Caenorhabditis elegans: one gene and its partners. The protein of the gene in region 1 interacts with the protein of each later gene in a pairwise test. Each region holds a gene or a part of one and is shown in the gene's direction. Other genes may lie near its edges. The genes, in order: eat-16, gpb-2 and gpb-1.

Evidence for each region.
Region 2: the proteins of eat-16 (region 1) and gpb-2 interact in a two-hybrid assay, tested with the Caenorhabditis elegans proteins (one study listed by BioGRID).
Region 3: the proteins of eat-16 (region 1) and gpb-1 interact in a two-hybrid assay, tested with the Caenorhabditis elegans proteins (one study listed by BioGRID).

Annotation. Positions count from the first base shown.
Region 1 is NC_003279.8:9,721,016-9,726,795, forward strand, and holds eat-16 (Regulator of G-protein signaling 7), read left to right. Parts: upstream 1-1,705; 5' UTR 1,706-1,788; coding exon 1,789-1,809; intron 1,810-1,859; coding exon 1,860-1,979; intron 1,980-2,089; coding exon 2,090-2,173; intron 2,174-2,237; coding exon 2,238-2,331; intron 2,332-2,375; coding exon 2,376-2,454; intron 2,455-2,831; coding exon 2,832-3,128; intron 3,129-3,265; coding exon 3,266-3,379; intron 3,380-3,426; coding exon 3,427-3,937; intron 3,938-3,951; coding exon of another isoform or gene 3,952-3,965; exon of another isoform or gene 3,966-3,983; coding exon 3,984-4,069; intron 4,070-4,386; coding exon 4,387-4,402; 3' UTR 4,403-5,269; downstream 5,270-5,780.
Region 2 is NC_003279.8:7,317,731-7,322,775, reverse strand, and holds gpb-2 (Guanine nucleotide-binding protein subunit beta-2), read left to right. Parts: upstream 1-1,690; 5' UTR 1,691-1,827; coding exon 1,828-1,904; intron 1,905-1,951; coding exon 1,952-2,040; intron 2,041-2,588; coding exon 2,589-2,725; intron 2,726-2,820; coding exon 2,821-2,939; intron 2,940-3,171; coding exon 3,172-3,364; intron 3,365-3,407; coding exon 3,408-3,626; intron 3,627-3,918; coding exon 3,919-4,015; intron 4,016-4,117; coding exon 4,118-4,296; 3' UTR 4,297-4,486; downstream 4,487-5,045. Other genes in the region: F52A8.3 (uncharacterized protein), read left to right, coding at 1-18, 181-446; F52A8.1 (DUF2650 domain-containing protein), read right to left, coding at 4,727-4,816, 4,886-5,045. UniProt on the Caenorhabditis elegans protein: Guanine nucleotide-binding proteins (G proteins) are involved as a modulator or transducer in various transmembrane signaling systems.
Region 3 is NC_003280.10:11,742,196-11,749,295, reverse strand, and holds gpb-1 (Guanine nucleotide-binding protein subunit beta-1), read left to right. Parts: upstream 1-1,645; 5' UTR 1,646-1,648; coding exon 1,649-1,705; intron 1,706-2,235; exon of another isoform or gene 2,236-2,373; intron 2,374-3,152; coding exon 3,153-3,266; intron 3,267-3,314; coding exon 3,315-3,410; intron 3,411-3,497; coding exon 3,498-3,576; intron 3,577-3,725; coding exon 3,726-3,876; intron 3,877-4,613; coding exon 4,614-4,743; intron 4,744-4,793; coding exon 4,794-4,865; intron 4,866-4,916; coding exon 4,917-5,133; intron 5,134-5,210; coding exon 5,211-5,317; 3' UTR 5,318-6,485; downstream 6,486-7,100. Other genes in the region: Serine carboxypeptidase ctsa-1.2, read right to left, coding at 6,549-6,728.

The DNA of each region.
Region 1 (5,780 bases):
GTGATGAACAAATACGATGTGACCGTCTAGTTGTCTCGTCACTCTCCTATTGCCAGTTCTCTCTATCTCTCTTTAGTGTGCAAACACCGAATTGAACACCGTATCCATCAACACATTTCGAACCTATTCAGTTTTCCCAGCAATATAATACACAGTTTATGGGTTGTTTATATTCAAGTTTCTCCGTCTTTTTCTATTGGAAATGAAAGATGATAACTCTGCGAGCGAAAAGATGATCGGAGGTCGATTCGCATGAATTTCCCATCGGAAAATTGAAAATCAGTATTGATTGAAACAGGAAGAACCACAAACGAATGTGTTAATTTATCACTCTTTATTATGACGATTTGTTCTGAATCTGGAACATAAAACTCTGATTAATAAAACCAATAAATTTATTATTTTATTTATTCCGCAATTACTTTCTTTTTTTTTTTGATTTGACAACCCAAATTATATTTTGGAAATTCTATTGAACTTTCTATTTATTTTCTAATCAACGTCGAAAACCGGTAGATCCTGCTGTGATGCCTAAATTCTGTACAGATTTCTCAAAATTTTTAGCAGATTTTAAGCGGATTTTAAGCGGATTTGAGATTTTCCCAAATTTTTTTTAAGTACTGAAAATTTCAAAGAGAATCAGCAATCGACGGAAGAATGTTGATCCATTTGCAGAAGAAAACCGAGCAGTCAAATATCCCAAAAGATTACTGAAACTATTGTGTAATCAATTTTCAATGCCCTGAACGAATATTAAAATCAGAATCAAAGATCGTTGACAATGTTCGCAATAGTTGAAATACGAAACAATCAACCCGTTTTTCACTTTTTTGACATTTTTTCTCCAAAAAAAAAGCTAGATGAGGGGAAGAGTAGAAAGTAGTAGTATCCTTCGCCTACCACCACTACCAAAAAGCAACACACACCATATACATGTTGAAGAGACTGAGATGTTAAAGGGAAAAGAAGAAGAAGCTCGTTGTCGCTGTCGTCGTCTTCGAAGCCGTAGCACATCGAAATTGAATAAAAGGGGAAAGAAGTGGACACAAGAGACGCAGAAGAATGAGAAGAAGCCTGGAATACTGCTTCTACTGCTGATTGTGACAACTCGAGACGACGAGATCGATCCGTGAAGTGAAAAGAAGGAGAAGCAGCAGCAGTAGCAGCACACGCACACACTCACTCACGCATCTCTGACACACACATGCACACACATAGAGGGCTCTCGAAGCCCTCTCGGAGCCACAGAGTAATTGAGAGAGTGAGAGACGTTAGACTGCTCGATTATTGGAAATCATTGGGCTGTAGGGGACCCGGCGACTAGGCAGAGAAGGGAAGGCGCCGCTCTCGTCGCCTGCGCTATTGACTTTGCCTGTCTGCGTTTGAATTCAGGAAGACAGCTTCGTCGTATGTCTCACATTCTCACTCAAAATCCACACTCACACACACACGCGCACAAACCCTCACTCTCCTCACCCGCTCACATATACACACATAAGCACCCCCTCGCCCCCCTCTCCGCCCACCACGCACCACAGCAGTCCCCCATCCCCGGAGAAGAAAGAAATAGAGAACGAGAGAGTCAGAGAACTAGAGATCTAAGCATTTTGGCCTTACTATTTTATTATTTTTCATTCCTATCATCTCCATCATCGTTTACTGATCTGCAACCGTATGATACAGTTCTCAAATATTCAATTTGCAGATTATTATTCTAATATTTAATTCAAAAATATCAAAAGCTGTCGAGCTGATTGAGACACGCTGCTCTCAAACCCCGCATTTTGTATGATGCCACCGTTGACCAAGGTATTTCATTTGAAGTTCAATTTTCTTAAAATTTCTTTTGAAAATTTTAGATCGAGGTGCTCGCGAAGCGAGTGATGGAAGGTGCGCAATTGAAAACGCATAAATACTTCCGGATCGCCGTGCCTCATGCCATCACCGGTCAGCAATTGATAGCTCTCGTTCTTGAGCGAGTGAGTTTACTTTCCTCTCAAATACAGCAGGAGCACTTATTTGAAAACTTATAAAGCTTCTGACAAGAAAATCACAAAAATTATGAAAATAAATTTTTAATTTTTAACAGGGTGCTCCTGACGATGAGGCTGAAGCGAGTCATCTGGCAAGTTTGTTACTTCACCACGGTTACATGTTTCCAGTTATCGAACATGTAAGTTAAAGACTGCAGTTTTTCAGTGTTTAACTTAAGTATTTTAAATTAAAAATTAATTCAGGGCCAACCTTTCAAAGACGATGGAACGTTATACAGGCTTCAAAGGCCGTATTTTTGGCCTTCACAGGCTGAACTGGTTCCGGATGTTGAATATGGTAATTCCAAGAAAAGTTATTGTATCTGATCCACTATATTTCAGCCATTTACCTCAACAAGCGATTGCTCCGAAATGAGCAAAAACACGGGTTAGAAGAAGATGAAGTTGAGTCATTCAACAGGTATGGGACATTATTTCGGACATTAGGAAAAATTATTTAGTCAGAAAATATTGAACAATCCTCACGACTTAGAAATAAATTGGTAAAGCTTCGCCAAGAAATCTTACTGAGATCACGAAAAATGTCAAAGTGTACAGAGATTAGTTTTGGCATTTTTATGATTTCAGTTTTGGAGTCGAAAGCTATTATTTTTAACCTTTTAAAAATTGGGTTTTTAATTTTTTGAACGTGCATCGCTGCAGAATGAAAAATCGAAATAATAATTTAATTTTTTTTAGATTATTGAGTTATCTTTCTCGAAATCTGAAAGTTATCTCTGGTGATAGAAAAGTATTTTGAATTTTCAATACATATGGCATTCAAAAATAAATTTTCAGACTTGCCGATGTTCTCGCACACATGTGGGCTTTCATCGTTCAACAGTCTGAGCTTCAATTGAAGCAGCAAAAAGAAAAAAAGAAAGTGGACAAGGTAGTGTTCGATTCAGAAGAACGAGCGTTTTGGAAGATACGAAAACCAAGTCGTGGTGGACCAAATTTCCTAGAGGACCCTTATATGAAAATAGAAAAGAAAATACGACGGCAGAATGCACAAGGTTATAGATGTCTTATGGATCGATTACGATTTGCAATCAAGACAAAGCCATGGCTAAAAGCATTAAAAGCATCGGATACGTGAGTATATTCAATCCAATTGTAAACTTTTCCTAGCTGAATCGAATCAAAATATGTATTATTAAGATTGAATTTCGAACTGATAATGGATCAGATATCAAAAGACAATAGATTCAATTAAATAATTCGTGTTTCAGAATGGTGACGTGGGTTGACCAAAGAGCTGAATTCGATCCATTCCTTCACCCTCCACAACCATCCAATCCATGGATCAGTGATGAAGCTTCATTTTGGAATCAGCCTACTGACACGTAAATTATTATTTAATCTTTAATCTTTATTGCAAATACTTTTTCAGGTCAAGTGCCGAGATCCCTACCGAGAAACGGGTAAAACGATGGGGACTTTCTGTTCAAGAGCTTGTGAAAGATCCTATAGGACGGCAAGTGCTCGAAACATTTTTAGAATCCGAATTTTCGTCGGAAAATATACGGTTCTGGATAGCGATACAAGATTTGAAATATGCACCGAATGAGCAGATATACCAGAAAGCTGAAAGAATACGAGAAGAATTTTTGGCTCAAGGAGCACCTGCACAAGTAAATGTAGACAATAGAACCCTCGATCAGACATTGGAGTGTATTTCGAAAGCGAAAGATGCTTCACAAATGAGATTCGCATTCTATCATTCTGAAGAGCACGTGTTCACATTGATGGCAAAGGATTCATATCCACGTTTCGTCCGATCCCAAATCTACAAAGCAGTATTGACAGCAGCGCAACAGCACGGAACAAAGCGACTCGGGTGGCGCAACTTCGTATTCAACATGGGTACAACTAAAAAACCAGCAACGAGTAAACCAGCAAAGGCAAGATTTTCCAGGAAATTATGTATGAAAACTTTGATATCTTCAGCCGCAAGATTCCATCGGGACTGGTCAAGTTCTCCCAAAACAGCTATCGTCCGACTCGCTGCCAGTTCGACAGGCTCATGGGGTCAAGTAAGTTGTGGAAATATGTCAGAAAAATCTATTAAAATGGGACAATCCTACCACACGAACAATTAACTCCAAAACTGTTAAATTTATATATTAGTTAAGCTTTTGTTCAAATAGGATAAACTGGCGATATACACCTTTAAATATCGGCTAGTTTTTTTTGAGTTAGTATTCCCAATCATTTTTTCTGTAACCTGTTGGTGCTTAAATCTCCTGTCTTGGCAGTTGCCATGAGATTTTTTGGCCAAAGACTAATGACTCAAATCCATCAAAGCTAAACTCATGACCTACTCTCTTCAGCTCATTTCTTTATTTTGCAGACCGGATCCCGAATGACGTCATTCTCTTCTCACATCTCGTTTCTCTTTTCTGCGTGTACGTACGTGTCTGCGTCTCTCTGTATATTCTTTTTCACTTTTCCCTCTTCTTTCTCAAAAAAAAAACCAAATCAAATAACGACCATCAAAAAGGGAAATCAGTATCCTCTGCATCGGTTTTACACGCAAATTTAAATATTTCGAAGCGAACCATTTGATATGTGTATTATCAATGAACTTCTTCTCAAAATTAACAATCTCGAACCACCCAACACTGCATATTTTGACCTTATTTTCTCTTCCAAATCGATCGATAATACATGTAATTCCACAGTCTCTTCAGACTCTTCTAGTCCATCATAATCCACATCTCCTGCCAGCTTCTTCTTCATTTTCACGATATACTAATTTGTAATCCTATTTTCTCACAAAAACGTGTACAAAGTGTTATATTTCTTTCTATTACCCATATTATTTTAATCTTTTCAGAAAATCAATTTTTGTTTCCCTCATTCATTTCACACAGAGTTCTCCTGCTTTTTTGGCACACTTCTCGTTTTTTTTTCAAAATTTTAAAAGTATCTGTAAGGTACCGCTAGCGTATTTAGGTGTTTCAACCTAACTTTTTTCAATTATATCTACTCAAAAATAATTTGATTTGAAAATGGTAATTCGCACCAAAAATGACGATATCATAACGTCTCAGTTCTTTTTTTTTCCAAAAATCATATATAAATTTCATTTTCTCTTACCCTCTACCTGGTGTGATTGTCTCAAAAAAATCAACTTTCAGAACCGGAGTTGTTACATAATATATTATTAATGTGTCAGTATATCATTATTTTCAGCTTTTTGTAGGCGTTGATGTTCAATAAAATTATTTATTCTTATTTTTATGTCTGTGTTACACCTTAATATATATTCGAAACTATGGGGAACTCTGGGAATAAGAAACACAAGGAAAGGGTTTTTTGAAGAATAAAAATTTCTTATATTACATAGATGTCTGAAGATGAAAATTTTGCGGGAAAAAACAACCAAAATGTGCTACGACACGGGAAATTTTTGGAACAATAGAGATTTTGAATAAATTTACAGAATACCGATTATGAGCACGAACGGATTCCGCAACGGATCACCCAAAATCAAACAGTGGGAAAAGGTTTTAGTTCACTTCCATTAATAAAATTGTCTGGATATATCTAATCTTCCAATTTACAGAAAATCCAATATGTATTAAAAATTCACAACGAAAACCCGGGGACCCGGGGAAAACTATTGATTTATCAAAATTATGTTGATTTTTCGAAGAGAAAAAATATAAATAATTTCTTTTTTTTTAAATTGAACCTTTTCCCCGGAAAAATCAAAAAACAGACACCATTTTTTTGGTACTA
Region 2 (5,045 bases), 2.4 Mb from region 1:
GAAAGAATACTCAACAAGGTATTTCAACTTGTCAATTTTAATTTTTCCAGTGGATATATTCTAGACAAAATTGCATTTCAGTTCAATCAAATTTCTTGAATTTCATAGATTTGAGACATTTCTAACTGCTTCACATACAAACTAAAAAATTCAGTAAAAATAGCCAATATTTCAGTTTAGTCTCATCTCCTATCATTGCCCAATCTGCTCCTGTTCCAATTCCTGTCAATTATGATAATATTCCTGGTAATGCTAATTATATTCAACACACTCGTCAAGCTCCACGTCAAATCCACGTGGACTCATCACCAAGAGATTCTGAAATATCTCGTGTCATGGTTCCTGGTGATCAGGTCATGTTCTCTGCTGAAGATCGTTATTATACCTCGTCGACGGCTCCGGCAACTGCTCACCGACCTGATGCCTACAATGTTTCTCGATATTAATTTTTCTGTCTTTCACTTTTTCTGCTTGTATATTACGCTTGAATAAATATTTTGAGTCTTAAAATTATTGGCACTGAAACTACCGGTGTACAAGAAGTGTCTTACAGCTACAGCTAGTCTAGATTTCTGGTTTTAGTGGGGAATTTATTTAAACCACTTCTATAGTGATAACATTGTTAATTATCAATATCATAGTAAAGCTTTTCAGAAAAAAGTTGAATATGTTTATGCGCTGTCGAAAAGTGGTAAATTCTCATTTTCACACATCATAACTCTGCAAGTAGACAGAAAAATATGTTTTATACGAGTTTCCTATTTTTCTTATGCCTTTTTTTATTATAATATTGTAGGTTTTAGAGCATTCCACAATGCTATTCCCTGCGAAGGATAAAGTTGCAAAAATTTGACAATTTTCCATAACTTATTTTTTCAAAAAACCTAAAACGATTGTGGGACTTTTTAAACTGGTTTTACTCAACTTTTAAGCTAACCTAGCACTTTTTTATAATTAATTTCACTTCACAAAAACCATCAAGACATGTGCATTGCCTAATTTTAACTCATCCCGTTCTTCGAGCCACTCTCTTTTCCACATCTCTTCCGTCTCTTTTCATCTTTTTCCCAGAAACCGCGACGCGACCGCATTGCATTCTCTTTCCATTGCAAAAAGGACCGCTCGGCAAAACGAGAAAAGAAATAGAGAAAATAGTGAAGAGGGAGAAGCGAGACATAGCGGAGTAAGGCACGCAAATAGAATTCATTGCACCATGATTTCGGGCCCTCGACGGCTTTTTGTCGTGGCGAATATAGTTTTGTCTTAATCAATACCATCAAATTTATGATAATTTAATGATAATGTAGCCACATCCATCCTATTTTTGAGCATGTTCAACAGAATAACTTTGCAAAAAAGGCTTTTACTTTTATTTTTTATAAACGTTACTTATAAAATGTGTGAAACTCCGATCATTGCAAAACCTTAGGCAAATATAAATTAATAGTAATGGTAGTACGATATTTTGAATTACCTTATCAACATGTTTTTGGTTTAAAATCAAATTCTTTTTACATTGTGCTCGTTTCAATTGTGCCAAACTGTTGTCTAATTTGTTGTTTCAAATAAAAAATTAAAATCCAAAATCATGTAAATGATCTTGATCTTCCTATATATTTCTTACATTTCTAGGCATGTCCTTTAAGAATTTGGCTACTTCAAACTTATTTTTTTAATAGCAATGTTTCAGGAAAAATGTGCCTCTAAACCTCAAACAAACCGCCCATCTCTAATTGTTCTATTCAAATTCATTTTCTTCAACCCTCAGTCTTCTCTTCCTTTTTTTGCATAATTCGTCTTCTGATCTCAAAAAGAAACGCAATTTGAATGAGCACCATTGCTGGAGAATCGTCTTCCTCGTCGAAAATGCCAGAAAACTCTCAGCCAACAACAACCGAAAAAGGGTATTTGTACATTTTACATTACAAAGGGTTACACTACATTATTTCAGATCGGAATATTTAGAACAATTGGCAAATGAAGCCGAAGAGCTTAGAAAGAAATTGGATCAAGAGAGGCACAAGCTTAATGACATTCCTAGTAAGTATTTGAAAAAAATTAAAAAGATAATTTATTAGAATACTTCAATTTAAAAAGAGGGACTTTGAAGAAGAACACTACTAAAAAATTGAACTTTACAATTCCTAGGTTAGAAATCCTCCGGAGTCTTTTTTCTTTGTTTTTTTATTGAAAAAATAAACTTTTGAATTAAAAGCTCACAATCAGTGAGGATATTGAATAAAAATATCAATGCGGTTCTTCATAACCGAATATTATAATTGCCCAAATATCAATACACACCAAAAATTACGTCTAAGTTTTGGTAAATTGTCAAATCTAGGTGAAGTTGGACTTTTTGAGAACTTGTTTGACTGAAAAAAGTTGAAAAAAGTTTTTGAAAACTTTAAAGAAATTTGAGTTAAATAATTTGATGAACAAAAAGATACCAGATATGCTTTGTGATATTTGCATAATTCTAAATGTTTTCTCTTTGACTTTTTTGAGGTTATGCCTAATTTACTATTACCAAGAACTACAGTAATCCCAAAACGCACTAAGTAGTTTTTTACATCCTAAGTAATTTTCAGTTCAACAAGCAGCCGAACGACTTGACGTTATGGGAGCTCTTGGTGTAAAACAGCGTCGAATTTTAAAAGGACACGTGGGAAAAGTATTATGCATGGATTGGTCATTGGATAAAAGACATATCGTCTCTTCATCTCAGGTTGGTTTAAAATATGACTTACAAAAGATTCAGTAGTCTTCAAAAATTGAAACCTCGATTTCTAAAATGAATTTGCTCAAATTAGTAAATTTTAGGACGGGAAAGTGATTGTATGGGATGGATTTACTACGAATAAGGAACATGCTCTTACGATGCCAACAACTTGGGTTATGGCATGTGCATTCTCTCCATCGAGTCAAATGATCGCTTGCGGGTAAGATTTCTTTCAAATACTTCAAAGCTTTCAAAAAATACAAACGGTAGTACACGGACTTATAGTGTTCATGAGAATTTATTGTTTTTTTTTTCAAATTATAAAAGAGCTCTTACAGACGGAATTTTCAAAAATTGGCTCATGTATACTTTACCAATTTTGAAGCTTTCATGTTATTAATTAAAAATTTTTATTATTATTTTTTGAATTTTCAAAAATTCCAATTTTACAGAGGACTTGATAATAAATGCAGTGTCGTTCCACTTTCTTTTGAAGATGATATAATTCAAAAGAAAAGACAAGTAGCAACTCATACTTCTTATATGTCATGTTGTACATTCCTTCGTTCGGATAATCTTATTTTAACTGGAAGTGGAGATTCAACATGTGCTATTTGGGATGTTGAAAGTGGACAACTTATTCAGGTTTTTTATTCTCGCGAATCGGAAACCCAATTCAAAAATTCAGAATTTCCATGGTCATACTGGTGATGTATTTGCAATCGATGTTCCAAAATGTGATACTGGAAATACATTTATTTCCGCAGGAGCTGACAAACATTCTCTTGTATGGGATATTCGTTCAGGACAATGTGTACAATCATTTGAAGGACATGAAGCTGATATTAATACTGTTCGATTTCATCCAAATGGTGATGCATTTGCAACTGGATCTGATGATGCTACTGTAAGTCACAAGTGTTTAAACTTCTTCATTATTGAAAATTGGAGAAGGGATGGGAAATTATGGAAGCCTTGCACGACCATGTGTCGAATTACGCAGCTAGTGTACTCCTCGAGAAGAAGTGACAATATGCCCACTTCTCCTCGGGGAGTACACGAGCTGCGTAAATCGACACATGGCCGTGCAAGAGAATCTTAATTAAATTTCACGGTTATTCTTCCATTTTTCGAAAATTATAGTTTGGGAGAAAGTCGCGAGAGTTGCTTGTTTTGTCTGAAAATATTACTTTTTCCAGTGTCGCTTATTCGATCTTCGAGCAGATCGTCAAGTATGTGTGTATGAAAAAGAATCAATCTTGTTCCCCGTAAATGGAGTCGATTTCAGTTTGAGCGGTACGTTTAAATCTTCACAAAAACGTATAGTCCAAATCAATTCAATGCATCTCTGAAATTCACAGAACTAAACTTTTCACTCTAACTATTAAAAAATTACAGGTCGTATTCTATTTGCTGGTTATGGTGATTATCGTGTCGGTGTATGGGATTCGCTGAAATGCGCCCGTCATTCAGTACTTTATGGACATGAGAATCGTATTAGTTGCCTCCGAACTTCTCCTGATGGAACAGCCGTCTGCTCGGCGAGCTGGGATTGCACAATTCGCATTTGGGCTTGATTATTTAATATTAATTTTTCTCTTACAATTTTTGAGCTTTATGTCACTTTACTCATCCCCCTTCCCACCAGTCTCTATCCCTGTACTATTATCTAACCATCCCACTATTTTCTCCTATCTCAACTTTCTAGTCACAAATACTGTAAAGTACTCGTTCATTGCTGAATGATGTAAATAGAATTCACTAAATACACCTGTTAAAATACAATTCAAAAAGGCAAGGGTGAACTGTGAGGAAAGGAAAATTACATAACAAAAAAGAAAGAAGTGTGGAAAGTAGAGTATTCAATGAGCAACGTATGGCAAATTATCAGAGAATATTAAAAGGAAGAAATTCAGTGAATTGGTTATAAAGAGAAAAGTGGAAATTTTGATAAAACTGTTGCCCCGAAGATTTGATGAAGAAATGTGAAAATTATAAGTCAAATACTTATGCGCAGCAGAAGCATCTGACGCAGTTGATGATGATCGAGAGAATCGTGCAGACGGCAAGGAAGAGAAGAAGAACAGTAACCCAATCCTGAAAGAAACAAATTTAGAAATTAACATATTTAAATTTCAGCAGATCTTTTGAAAAATGAATTATTACCTGAAGACGGAAGCAACACTGATCAGCAATCTGTCCGCAGCACTTGAAGTACCAGAAAACGTTCTCTTCTGGGCAAGCTTGTCCGACAACTGGAAGTGGGCATGCCAATGGACTCCTTCTGATCGTGAGTGGCTCAATCGATTTGACGTAGTCGAGAAGA
Region 3 (7,100 bases), on another chromosome or scaffold:
TCACATTTTAGACCCAAACACCAGCCATTAAGCCGTCTTGCGTCCTGCCACGTCACATCAAAGCCATTAATCTTCGATGGCAGTCTGGCTCGGTCAAAATTGGCCTATTTTTGTCTGAGAACTTTGTACAATTTTATTGGTTAAAAATGCTCGCACCACCTGCTGGAGGGCACCAGATGTCCCCTCGCCCAAAGCAATTAGAATTCTGCATTTAGCAAACAAAAGTTGAATCAATAATTCGCAGATCCAATGGTAGGAGAGAGAAAGAGTGAGCCGCGCCTTCTTCGCACAGATATATATTAGCTTTTGTCACGTTTTGCGCTCCTACCTGGGAGAGCCCAAGGTATTTGAACACGGAGAGCAATATGTTCCCTCAAAACTCAAATACCTGTGCCCCATCATTTCCTTCCTTAATTCCCTCATTTCATTCGACATTTGTGGTATTCAGTTTCTTTTCTTTCTTTTTTGTCATTGTTTTGTTCTTCCGCGCCACACACACACACACAGACCAACACTTTTACATTTTTTCCCGCCCGCTCCCCTTTTCCATCCCGCTTGGTCTGCGTCTCAAGGTTTGGTTTCTTTCTCGTACAGTGTTCCGCTCTCACGCCAGTTTCTGAATCGATCTATTGATTTTTTGAAAGTTAAAAATTTTGCTTAAAATTTCTGAAGCTTATGATTTTGGTTTGCAGACCGTCATTCTGTACTTCCTGATCAGCAGCTTGGTCTCACCGTCTTTGCCAAGTTGACGTCGGTCGAGGGGTTTTAATTAAAAGGGTTAGTGATATAGATTTCTTTCTAGTAGGTTTTTCATGTTTTGATCAAAAACATACCTTTAGTTTATTCTTATTTTATTATCTCACCTATAGGGATCCCTAGAGCTAATAATCTACTTCCAAAGTTCCTCTCTAAAGAATTAAATATTTTCCCGTCTAGTTATCGATTTTAGAATCGAACTATTTTATTAGATAAGTAAGACCAAAATGTGTTGTTTTTTCAAATATAGAATTCTGGAATCACTTATTTTTAAATTGAAAAAAATCCATTTTTTTCAAATTTTTGATTTTTACATAAATTACTTGATTACAATGAAACAATCAATAATTTTCTTCATTTTTTGATTGGTTTTCGCATTGAATATTCAATTTAAAACTTATTAATTAATTAATTAAATAAAAACAAAAAACATTGCGCGGCAATTAGCATGTGCTGGCCTACCGTAGTTTCTGCAAACACCGTGACGTCAATATGCACACTGTTGTTTTTCTTTGATTTTCTTTCCTTTTTTGACCTTTTTATCTTATTTTTTCTTATTTTCTCCACAGAAAATCTCTAAAAGCTTCGAAAACTTGAATTATTTTAACGATAAATTTAATTCCTTCATGAAAATAATCAAATTCTTGGAAAAAATCGATTTTTTCTGCTATTTCCTTCAAACTCTTTTTTTCTATCCAATAATTCTTAATTCACGCTTTTTTTTGCAGGCCCAGTTGTCGAGTGCAAGAACAAAGGCCACGAAGACGACGAATAGAGCAGCGCCGCCGTCGAAAACGCGAACACCGACCAGGAGCAGCATTAGCCGCAGCCGCATCCGTCGACACTTCCATCAGTACCATCCTCCGGAGCACGCACCACCACCAGCAGCAAGATGAGCGAACTTGACCAACTTCGACAGGAGGCTGAACAGCTGAAGTCGCAGATTCGGGTGAGTAAATCTGTGTTTTTTTTTATTTTTTAAAATATTTTTTAAACTAATAATTGCAGTAATCTCTCGTTCCAGAGCATGGTCTAGCAATTGTTTGAATATGCGAAATATGAGAAATACACGCATTTATATATTTATACACACACATATACACACATACATATACAAATTGTTGGTAATAAGTAAAGCGCTCCCCTTCCAACGATGCCGCCGCCGCCGCCATCGGCGTTGTTTTTGCGCCGTACTTGAGGGGACGTGCTGCTGCACTGGATGTGTATAACACGATGGTCGTCGTCCCCCAGCCGTCGTCGTCTTCTTTTCTTCTTCTTCTACCCGCCATCGCCGCTGCAAAATATCGATCAGTAGCAGAAGTTGTTGCTCCACACACGCAGGCCGCGGCGAGCCATTGGCCGAGATGGGGTCGCCCCTGGTGGGGGCACTGAGACGAGGAGAAGCTGGAGCAGCAGCAGAAGCAGCGAGCGAGCGAGGAGAATAGATTGGCTGCCTAATGTGAGATTGTCGGCGTCTCCGGCTCTTGTTCCACTATTTTCCCGGGGCCCCGCCGCCGAATGCTCTCAATTTCTGCCGCTACTGCTGGCCAAGAGCACGAGAGAGAGAGAGAGAGATCTCTCGCAGTCTCTCTTCTGCGCAAGCTCCACTCGTGTCGTAGTGCGCCATTCTCCCTTGAGGACTCTGCTGCCGTCGTCGTCGTCGTTGTCGTTGTCATCGCGTCGCTCACTAGAATTGGTGGTAGCTCCTGCTCCGACGAGCACTCACACACACACACATGGTTGTGCGTGTGCGCGAGCACAAAATGTTGCGCGGGGTTTGGTGAAGCTCTCGTGGTGCTGAAAACGGGGTGAGCTGGCCTGGAGCGAGGAGGGGCAGCAGAGATAGAAAATACACTGAATTGGTGTTAATTAAATGCACAAAACATTTATGGAAGTGGAAGATTTTTCGCTTCAAAAATACAGTCCCCGGTCTCGAAGCGACAAATTTTTGTGAAAAGATTACTGTAATTTCAAATTCGGGAATTTTCAGCAATTTTCCATATTATGTGGACGTCTAAAAATGAGAGGTTCTGATCCCCCATGTCGATTTACGGGGCACTATTGCATCATCTCAAACTGTCCATTTAATGTGTTTAATGTATGCAAAAATATGTAATAACAGCCCGTAAATCGACAATTCGTGGCGAGACTCATGTGGCAAAAAACCTCATATATATCCGTCTAGATAATAGTTTTTCTCTCGATTTTATAAAAATTTATGTTTTTTAGTTGAAAACTATGAAAAATCGATGAAAATTCCTAGAGTGGAAATTACAGTAATTTTTATAAAAATTTAAGGCCCGAATTTACAGATTTTGAAGTAAAAAGTTGTAAAAACCAATAATTTGAAGTTTTTCATAATTAAAAAAAAAACAAAATAAATTAATTTTTTGCAGGAAGCCCGGAAATCAGCAAATGACACAACACTGGCCACCGTCGCTTCAAATCTGGAGCCAATTGGCCGCATTCAGATGAGGACGAGACGTACGCTTAGGGGACATTTAGCCAAGGTAGGGCTTTCAGACTTTTTCTAGTCATAAAATCGATAAATTTTGCAGATTTATGCAATGCACTGGGCATCAGACAGTCGCAATTTGGTGTCAGCTTCACAAGACGGAAAGCTCATCGTTTGGGACTCGTACACCACAAATAAAGTGAGTTTTTTTTGACGATTTTCAATTGTTTTTTTTTTGATAAAAAAAGAAAAAATTTAAAGAAATTAATTTGCATTTTTTTTCCAGGTTCATGCAATTCCCTTGAGATCATCGTGGGTGATGACTTGTGCCTATGCTCCATCGGGATCGTTTGTCGCTTGTGGAGGTAAGCTGAAGGATTACTCATTGTATTCAAATTTTCCGGAGAGATTACTGGGAAATCTGGGTTTCTATTGAGAATTTGAATCTCGTAAATCTACACGAGCAAAATTCAAATTTTTTAAAATAAAAAGTAACAATTCTCAATTTTTCCAGGTCTCGACAACATTTGCTCAATTTACTCGCTGAAAACACGCGAGGGAAACGTGCGGGTGTCTCGTGAGCTTCCAGGACATACTGGATACTTGTCGTGTTGTCGATTCCTTGATGACAACCAAATTGTCACCTCTTCCGGAGATATGACTTGGTGGGTTTTTTTTTTGAAAAATTTCATTTTTTTTAATTAAAGAAAAATCCTATAAAAAATCATAAATTATCAACTAGTTTCTACTTTTCATTTTTTTTTTTCCGCGTAATTTGAGCATCAGTGTATAGCCAGAGCACACAAAAGTAGAAGAAGTGCGAAGGAGAAATTCGGATGTTGAATGTTGATGAGTTTGTTTTCAAACTGGGCTCTTTTTGTGCCGCTTGATGAAATTGAGGTGGAGAGAAGCAAAGAACGTGTGAATAAAAGACAGAAAGAGCACAAAAGTCGGCCCGCGAAAAATGTAAATTTTCGGACTTCAAAATTTTACAAGTCTATTGTTAAATTGTGATCTCTAGACGTGTAGTTTGTACTTTGAAAAGTTTAAAAAAATTCCAGTTTGAAAATGTAAGAAAGATTTCAGATAACTTCCAAAATTTATCTCGTGATTCTGCAAAATTTCAGATTTTTTAAAGCCACACGCTATTTTCCGATTGGGTCTCGCCACGAAAAAAAAAGAAGTTTGTAAAGTTTCAAATTCTAAAGTGCAAATTGCATTTTAGAGTTTAAAATTTCATTTTCTACACCAAATTAACAAATCTGAGAAATTTGGCGCCTGTAGCGGCCACTATGATCGTGGCGAGACCCACTTTTCAAACCGGCATGTGCCTTTAACCTCTACCATATCATATAATATCACTTTTTCGTAAATTATCCTAATTCTCCAATTTTTTTTCCAGCGCTCTATGGGACATTGAAACCGGACAACAGTGCACCGCGTTCACCGGTCACACTGGTGACGTCATGTCGCTTTCACTTTCTCCAGACTTCCGCACATTCATCTCAGGAGCCTGTGACGCTTCGGCGAAGGTATAGGATTTTTGAAAAGTTGATTTTTTTTTAAATTTTTTAAATTTCAGTTGTGGGATATCCGAGACGGCATGTGCAAGCAAACGTTCCCAGGACACGAGTCAGACATCAACGCTGTTGCCGTAAGTTTTATTATTTTGAAGATTTTTCAAAAAAAAATCAATTTTTTGCAGTTCTTCCCATCCGGAAACGCGTTCGCCACCGGATCCGACGATGCGACATGCCGATTGTTCGACATTCGTGCTGATCAGGAACTTGCCATGTATTCTCATGATAATATTATTTGCGGAATCACTAGTGTCGCATTCTCAAAATCGGGTCGCCTGTTGTTCGCCGGATACGACGACTTCAACTGCAATGTTTGGGATTCGATGCGACAGGAGAGAGCTGGTGAGTGCCTTTAGCTCCTTTTTTTGAAATTTTCCAAGTTGAAAGTGATGAAAAACTAATTGTTCTTCCAATTTCAGGAGTATTGGCTGGTCACGATAACCGAGTTTCTTGTCTAGGAGTCACCGAGGACGGTATGGCCGTGTGCACAGGATCATGGGACTCGTTCCTCAAGATCTGGAATTAAGAAACATCAAATGTCTTCCTTAATTATTCTCCAATTATTGATTGAATGATGATGACACTACGTGGCAATTTTTTTCCCCATTTTCCCCAATTTTTTTCCGCTCTTGAAACCCCCCTGTTGTTCTCATTCTTTCGTCGCTATCCGCTATCCCGGCGCCCTCTTCCGCGTGCCCGGATCTCTTTTTCTTCTCTCACCTCTTCTCATCGCTTTTTGTTCGGTACTTTCTAGTCTCTCTTCAATCGCCCTCCCCATATTACTTTCCTTGACGTTTGTTCGAATTTTCTCATCAATTTTTTTTACTATGTGAAAATTATTATTATAGCAATTCTCAACTCTCTCTCTCTCATTTATTTTTATTTCACATTTTCTGTGTCTCCCCGCCCCCCGCGAAGCTTAATCTTTCTTCCTCTTTCACCACTCACTTTAGTCACAGACACATACACATGCGCGCGCTCTCTTTCTCTCCCCGATCGTATTCTACTAACATGATATTCATGCTACGACAAAAAATTTTATATATATGTAAGACAAATTTGTGCTCGGCGAGCAAGATATACAGTGATGGAGCCACGCGCGCGGAGTACAATTTTGAAATCGAAAAGCGAACGCCACGCGCATCACTAATCCTAAAACCCCCACATCAAGAAAAGCACAATATGAGATCCATTCTAATTATTATTTCCTCCCGATATATAATTATTTAAGCTTCTTTTTTTCTCTATTTCTGGTATCATCTTCTCTCATTTCTCGTCTTCTACACTAATTTAATTGACTCCCCCCACAAATCTTCACCTCTTTTTTTTGTCTTCTATGTATCCCATCGATCCCTTTCCAGACCGTTTTCAACTTTTTCACACACACAAAACCCCCTAAGTTTTTTTTTCTAATTTCTTTTAATTCTCCTACCACCGTGATTTTGTAAGTTCTTCCGATCGCAAAATTAAAGATAAAAAAGTTCTCATTTATTCGGATAGCTGCCACTTCTTTTCCTCTCTTCTCCCCCTCAACCCCCCACATCTGTTTAATCCATCACAATTCTTGAAAAATGAACATCCCCCATCCCCCCATCTCTTCTTTTCCCCAAAACACCCAAAAAATCTTATTTCCCTTTTTATTCTTTTTTATTGTTTCAATTTCCAAATTCTTATAAATTGCTGGAACCTTATAACCTCTTGTGAGCTCAGTTTTTCAGACATTTATTTCAAAATTATTATCATTGTTCTCCTAACGATTAGAAGGCCTTGTTGAACAGGAACGATTGGATGATGTGCTCGGCGACGGCTGGCTTGTCGGTTGGTACCATGTGTCCGGCTCCGCGAACAGTGGCGAATGTCACCTGGGATCCCTTGTACTGTGTCACGTATCCACCGATTTGACCCTTCACAGTGAAGTGGGTCTTCTTCTTGGAGAGCTGGAAATTAAATTATGGAATTTTTACAAAACATTAAAAATCTTGGGTCTCGCAGCGATTGAGAGCTTATTGTTTAAAAATACGGTACCCGGTGTCTCGACACGACAATTTTTATGAATGCAAAACGATGTGCGCCTTTAAAGAGTAATATTTTCAAAAAAATAATTTTCGATGAAAAATCCGCAGCAACGGAAGTTTGAAACTACAGTACTCTTTAAAGGCGCACAGCTTCGCTCATTCAACAAAAATTTATCGTGTCGAGACCCGGCGCCGTATTGTTTGGAAAAACTTTGGGTCTGGATAATATATAGATATCTTTTTATTGAAAAAAGCAAAAACTGTGGTTTATGCCCAAACAAATACGGTGCCCGG